Callithrix jacchus: one gene and its partner. The protein of the gene in region 2 interacts with the protein of the main gene of each other region in a pairwise test. Links are inferred from orthologs where the notes say so. Each region holds a gene or a part of one and is shown on either strand. Other genes may lie near its edges. The genes, in order: DNA repair protein REV1 and POLI.

The links.
Region 1: the proteins of POLI (region 2) and DNA repair protein REV1 interact in a two-hybrid assay, tested with the Homo sapiens proteins (2 studies listed by BioGRID). The link is inferred for Callithrix jacchus from reciprocal best matches to the Homo sapiens genes POLI and REV1.

What each region holds. Positions count from the first base shown.
Region 1 is NC_133515.1:9,087,261-9,091,087, forward strand, and holds part of DNA repair protein REV1, read right to left. Parts: intron 2,377-3,827; coding exon 1,667-2,376; intron 1-1,666. UniProt on the Homo sapiens protein: Deoxycytidyl transferase involved in DNA repair. Transfers a dCMP residue from dCTP to the 3'-end of a DNA primer in a template-dependent reaction.
Region 2 is NC_133514.1:97,478,180-97,482,006, forward strand, and holds part of POLI (DNA polymerase iota), read left to right. Parts: intron 1-1,738; coding exon 1,739-1,975; intron 1,976-3,827. UniProt on the Homo sapiens protein: Error-prone DNA polymerase specifically involved in DNA repair. Plays an important role in translesion synthesis, where the normal high-fidelity DNA polymerases cannot proceed and DNA synthesis stalls. Favors Hoogsteen base-pairing in the active site.

The DNA of each region.
Region 1 (3,827 bases), on a different chromosome or scaffold from region 2:
CCTTTATAATAGGCTTCCAAAAACAGATATCCCCTAAAAGTTTCAGCCTACTCCATTTACCAAACTGTGACTGTGGTAGCATGTAACTAGTTCTCCCTTTTTTTTTTTTTGAGACAGGGTCTCACTCTGCTGCCTAGTCTGGAGTGAAGTAGTTTGATCTGCAGCCTCAACCTCCTGGGCTCAAACAATCCTCCCACCTCAGCCTCTGAAGTAGCTGGGAACAAGGCACGTTGCCACCACGCCCAGCTAATTTATTTTCTTTTTGGTAGAGACAGGGTCTCACTGTGTTGCCCAGGCTGGTCTTGAACTCCTGGGCTCAAGCGATCCTCCTGTCGTGGCCTTCCGAAGTGTGGGAATTACAGTCGTAAGCCACTGAACCTAGCCTGCTCATGTATTCTTATGCTCACAACTCCACGAGGCAAACATCCTGAACTATCTATCATTGCTCTTCACAAAGAAAACTAAGACTCATAGAGGTAAACTAACTTGCCCATACTCCTGCAGCATAAGTGTGGCAGAGTAAGGATTCAGATTCAGGCTAAATTACCTAAATCCAAAGCCAGGTACTTCCTTACCACCTTCTATATTATCTCAAGAAATGATTCATAAAGTAATCTTAATCACAGTTCTGCTGTATAAAAGTATTTTTCAAAGTGTCATATAAACATAATGCAAACAACCCAAAATAATGCTTTTAAACATTCAAATAGTACAGAATTCATAACCCAAATATCTACCAAATGCTTTCATACAATAACAAAATTTCTCATTTTATTCCCATTTATAGAACTAATTAATCATAGTTCTTTGAAGCATTCAGAATTAAATAACCTTCAGGTAACAAGGCCAAGACATGACATAAGGAATCTAATATCTATTATTCTGAAATGTTTCATAAATACCAAAAAGCATTTTTTGACTAAAAGTACGTAGAAATATGTCAAACTTAGTAAAACAAAACAGAAAAAAAACCACAGAGTGTCTATCACTTTCTAGAACAGAACCATGAGCTTCTTTCTATATCTCAGTTTCCACAGCTATAAATTATAGTATTAATCTGAGATCTCTCCCATAAAAGAAATCCTATACTCTGTAAAAGGAACTAAAACTTCAAACCAGATACTAATTTATAATGACTGGCAGTCTGCTACTAGCTGTGCATTTGTTTTTTGATGACAAGAAAAGTACTAAAAAACAAAGTACAATTAACCAATGTACGTAGATATGAAATAAGCTCACTAAAAGTTTACCACTGTAATTCTAACAGCTGTCAAAATTAATTAAAAAATCATTATGATGCAAGCTTTTAGAAATTAACAATTGCTCTTATCAAATAAATTTCATTCTTACAGAGTTTAAGCACTGAATAGATATTATATTGACACAGTTCAAAACTTCAACTGATCAGGTCTATGTGAGGAATGAATGCTCAGAATCCCAACCATCTTACTGTTTAAATTCTCTGAAAATTTTCAGTCAGCCACAATTAAATCTAATCGTTTAAAAAAATTTGAATAAATAAGCTTTCTACGTTATGCTTACTGTAACTTATATGACTTGAGTTCTTGGAGACTTTTATGAGAACTTCGTATTGACCAGAAATAGCAATAATAGCGAACAAAATGATCAAGCATTTCTTAAGAAAACAATTTTAGTAAGTATCTACCTGTGTCAGTTACAACAAGTGCAGACCTGCCTGTTTTCATTTTTTTTAACTTTTCCCTTCCTGGAAAGATACCATTACTTTGCCTTTGTAGGGTATTGACAAACTCAGTCAATTCACACTTCCACATTGATATGTGATGCAGTCTTGAACGAGAATAGAAATTTGAAATAAAATTGCAGTCTGAAGGTTTGGATGGCACTGAAGATGCTGCCTTGCTAAGAGTGGAAACCGAAGAAGTGCTTTTTGTGCTTGAAGGCCCCTGAACAGTGGAATGGTGAGCACCATTGATTTTAGTGTTACTGTGCAAAGGTGATAATGAGAAAGAATTAGTTCTGTGTGGATTCCGCAAAGCATCTGTGTTTCCGGTGCTTTGCTGCAACTGCTGCAGAGCGCAGTCTCTGAAATCAGTGCTGCTCTTCTCAGCCTTCTCCTCCTCCTGGGAAATGTCTAGAGAAAGCCTGCTGGCAACACTGTTGCCCCTGGGCACCAAGCAATCCTGTGTCTTTAAGGCACCATTAGAGCTATGAGTGTGTCCATTAAAAATGGTAGTGCTGCTGCCGGGGTGCGGAATTCCATTCTGTTTCCTTCCCGGAGAGATTTGCTCCAGATCCACAAAACTAAAATCAGTATTTTCACCTTCTTCATTCCAGCTGTTTACTCCATTGACTGTGACTTCATTTTCTGTCTCAGTCTTCTTAACAATGTGATTTCTAAAGCAGGAAAAAAATTTTAAGTTAATAATGTCTGACTTTTAGGTTAAAATAATCTTTTCGTTGCAACATTTTCTTAGTGGCACATACTTTGGTATTTCCCTCTTTAAAAACTGAGAATTGCCAGGCATGGTGGCTCAGGCCCATAATCCCAGCACTCTGGGAGGCAGAGGCGAGTGAATCACAAGGTCAGCCTGGCCAAAATGATGAAACTCCGTCTCTACTAAAAATACAAAAAATTAGCTGGGCATGGTGGTGATAGCACCTATAATCCCAGCTACTCTCAAGGCTGAGGGAGGAGAATCGCCTGAACCCAGGAGGCAGAGGTTGCAGTAAGCCGAGATCGCGCCACTGCACTCCAGCCTGGACAACAGAGCGAGACTACATCTCAAAAAAATAAAAACTTGAGAATTATTATATTGAATATTGACAATTAAAAAAAACCCTGAAAATTAAACCACAAACTTTACATTCTGATTTGACAAAAAGTTATTTTCAAAAGTAGCAAGGTAATTAGAAAAATTCTAGAATATTAACAGCCCTTTGGGTGTTGTTTTTTTTTTCATTTTAACTTCAGATAGTCCCAAAGAAGAAATGCAACAGAATCTTTCTCACAGCTGAAAAAAAACCCAAAAAACTTTTCAATGATTTTTTCCATAAAAAATTAATTGGAATATATAAGTTTTAAATATCCAGTTCTAAAGCACAATGCTCGGCATTTACTACAAGGTCAATAAATATCTGCTGAATATACTACAAATAATTTACATAAAAATGGATTTTAAAACCTTACTTAAATTCGTGTTCCTAGTTTTAGTTTTTATGAAAGGTACTATTCAACACATTAAATCCAGTATGAAACCAGTGGTTTCGGTAGAAAAAAACTGACTATCTTAATTAACCTATTAATGGAGCTAACTGTTGCACAAGTTTACAAAAAGTAAGAGTCATGTCAACGTGTGGGGTAATTCAGTAAAATTTATACCTAGAAAAATGAGGACACTTGCCTTATTGACAAGGGAAATTGTACTTCATTGCTAAGAAAAGCATATTTAGATGCCAGGGTGTACAAGGCAGTTTGTACCAAGTTGCTTTACGACAGCTTTATAAATGCAGAACCTATGACAAATGCTATGCTAAAGTCACATCCTGGCTCCTCTAGAAGTTTGTTTAGTAATGACTTCAAGAGAATCATTTAAGTAACAACAACAAAAACCTGAATTACAAACAGTTATTTATTCTACTTAGAAATGTCCACATGTCCACAGAATTAATTCAATTACCATGCAGGCTCCAGATGAAGGGCTACCCTACAGAGTAGTAAGGCACAGGTGAAATTGCGACAGTATTACCAGGTTTCACCTAAAGCCCCTCATCCTAATACTAACTTGGTTTATTAGTAATGAGAACCTGACTACACAGAAAAGTCCCACAAGTTGGATGATCACCCA
Region 2 (3,827 bases):
TTTTTTTTTTTTTTTAGTTGTAATTTTTAAATTTTATGTCCTTGCTGTCATGGACAGGAAAATCTGCAAAATTCAGTGACTAGCATAAGATGACATGTCTTTGATGAGAGTGATATGAAGATAGTGTTAGGGCTCTGTAAGGATATTTACATGCTAATTAAGCTTTCAGACATCTTAAGACTCTGCATGTGACTCCCTTATCATACCACATACAAGACGAGTTACTCTGCTTTTGTGTAAGATTTGTCCGACCCTTTTGCTCTTAAGCCTCCCCATGCATTTCCTCTTATCCTCTTTTTTGAGAACTAAACATCAGTCTACAAAATAGTTCTCCACAGAAAAAAAGCGGTAGAGCTACAGTTTCTGGACTACGTGGAGCTTTTCATGTATCTTTTGTACTTGTGCTCGTTTATAACTTACAAGGGCTAAGTAGCAAGAATATTTCAAATGTATTCTATATAATTTTTAAAGCAAATTTAGATTTTATAGGTTAGAGTATGTTATAGTTAGGCTTTATATCCCAAAAAGGAAATGTGTAATTATTGATTAATTCTTCCTCTTTCACACAGATTTTATTAAAGTCTTTTTCAAACCTAAAGAAAAGTTGACAGAATTGTACTACAAATACCCATTATGTCCTTTCTTGTAGATAAACCAGTTGTTATCATTTTGCCACATTTCTCTTATTCTCTCTATGGATTGCTTGCCTGGTTGATGAGCTATTTGAAAGTAAATTGCAGACATCCTGACATTTCATCTCTAAATACTTTGAGCATGAGTCTCTTTGAGGTTCACATAGTTTAATGTAATTCCAACACTGTTTTATATCTAAAGCAAATTTATTTTTATATGATTTTTTTACACTTTCATAAAAAAGCTCTAAAACTATGGACAGGTCAGAGATTATTTTCAGCAGCATATACAGCTAGTGTGTGGTCAGGATTTAGATGTTTAGAGCTATAATGTTAGCTTTCTTGTTATATAATAATACTTTTATGCTTACTTACAGGTAAATGTGAGTAAAGTTTTATTCATGTAGGAATTTTTTTTATGAGTTTTTATAATGTGTTAATTATTAAGCACTTCTAGTATACAGTCACTATCACAGGCCCTTGGAATTTGCTTATTAAATTTGTTTACAGTATTCCTGTGAAGCATGAAAGAGATTAGTCAAGTGGATAACAGGGTGGCAGTGGTCTCTTAGTCCATTGAGTGTTGCTTTAACAGAATACCTGAAACTGGGTAATTTATGCAGAAAAAGGGTTTATTTGGTTCATGATTCTCATGGCTGGCTAAGTCAAAATTAGCCCTCTGCATCTGGTGAGGGCCTCGGGCTGTTTTCACTCATGGTGGAAGGCAAAGGGGAGCCAGTGTGTGCAGAGATCATGTGGTGAGAGAGGAAGGAAGGACTGGGGGAGGTGCCAGGCTCTTGTAACAACCAGCTGTCTCTGGAGCTAATACCGTGAGAAACTCACTCACCCCTGAGGGAGGGCATTAATCTGTTCATGAGGGATCCACTCCTGTGATCCCAACACCTCCCATTTGACCCCATTTCCAACATTGGGAATCAAATTACAACATGAGGTTTGGAGGGGACAAACATCGCAGCCATACCAAGTGGTGGTGGTAATGGTAATGGTGGTTGGATATAGACTAAGCCCTCTATCTTTTAAAAATTATTTTGTAAAGAAAAAAAGGTTTTTTTTGTGACTTTTAATGACATTTGTTGTTTTTAAAGCTATAAATCTGCATGACATCTTGCACATCAGACTACTTGTTGGATCTCAGATTGCAGCAGAGATGCGGGAAGCCATGTATAATCGGTTGGGGCTCACTGGCTGTGCTGGAGTGGCTTCTAATAAACTGTTGGCAAAATTGGCTTCTGGTGTCTTTAAACCAAATCAACAAACAGTCTTATTACCTGAAAGTTGTCAACATCTTATTCATAGTTTGAATCACATAAAGGAAATACCTGGTAAGACAAATGTATTTGAAAAGTACATACGTTTTATTGTATTTCTTTAATTGTAAAAATTATAGATACAATGTAATTAATTCTTAGATGGGGTGTATGTGAGTGTGAGTGTGTGTGTGTGTACGTGTGTGTGTACTCAGTTCCTGGAAAAAAAGTAAAAGAACAGTAATGTTTTCTGAAGCAAATTTGGATTAAGAAGTATGTGAAAGTACTTTTCTTATTTTATCTACTTTTGTATGGTTATAATATGATCATAAAAGTTATAGCCTAGAAACATACGGCTCTTTATTTCCAGTCCTTGGGTCATACTCTTATAGTGTTTGTTGCCTCTGGAGAAGGAAGTTGATCTTTTACTAACTCTCTTTTGGTATTACATATAAAATATTAAGGCTACAATAGACTTTCCAAAACATCTAGGCCAAGTTCCTCGTTTTAAAGATGAGGAAACTGATTTCCTTAAGGAATTCAGTGATCTATTTAGGTCATGGGGCAAGTTTCTATCTTTGAAGGTCAAATATCTAAGTTTTTATAGACCATCAATAATGGCTATGTTAAACTACGTTTTTATGGTATTGCTGGGGTTATAAAAGAGTTCTGTGGAAGTGAATTTCTAATACAACTGAAACTTAGATGTCATACTTCACATTTCTAACTGATACTTGTGTGTCCTTGCCTTCCTTAGTATAGTATAACTATAATTTGGAGTTTTTTGGATGACTTTGGTTCTGCATTCTGAAGAACAATGTCAGGTTGTAGTAAATTGAGAACTGTGTACTATTGCAAAACATTTTTATTTGGCTTTACTTTTGGAGTCTGTTTATTTATTTATTTTATTATTTTTTGTAAAACAGGCTTTCTGCTTTCTCATTTATTGCCAATTGCCAACCTTCTTTTATTTCTGCTGTGAAAAATCTGTCACTCTACCTTAGTAATTCCCCCTACACAGCCATCTCTTCCAACTTACTGCTTTTGCTGTGCAAGAAAACCAGATAACTATAGAATTACTATTTTTAAATGAAAAGAATAAGGAGACACTAAGTGGCTTGAGTATTTTCTCTTGTGAATAAAGTATGACTAAATTTTAGTGCAAGAATTTTGTGACAGTTTTGCTAGCAAGATTATTTGTTTGCTTTCTGGCTCATAGTTGTATTCTGGATGGTAAATATTGTTAAGATGTGACTTATGGTTAAATGTGTGGAGCTGTGCATAGCAATCAGTTAGATTACCTAATATGGACACTTAATTAAATTGCTCTAGTGGCAGCCTTTTTGTACATTAATAATAACGATTTCTGAATATTTCGAATATTACATAACAGATTGTAAAAACTTTGTTTTAGTAAGACAGCATTTATTGACTGCCTCTATGTTCATTTTGTTATACTGCATTTTGTGAGGACTTCAAAGAGATGCATATAATTCAGGAGCCTTGAGTGGAAGAACAGCAACCTGGTTTGCAATGGAGTTTGATCTTTGCAAAATACAGTAGTCCCCCATTATCTGCAGTTTCACTTTTCACAATTTCTGTTATCTGCAGTCAACTGAGGTCTGAAAATACTAGGGGATATTTTGAGAGAGGCAGAGACCACATTCATATAACTTGTGTATAGTACATTGTCATAATTGTTTATCTTATTATTAGTTATTGTTAGTCTCATACTGTGCCTAATTTATAATTTAAACTTTATCATAGGTATATATGTAATGGCAAAACAGTACTATATATATAGGGTTCGATACTCTCCATGGTTTCAGGTATCCACTGAACGGGGTAGAATGTATCCCCTGTGGATAAGGTGGGGACTACTGTATAAATTATAGAACTTAAAGACATGATTGATATATTTATAATA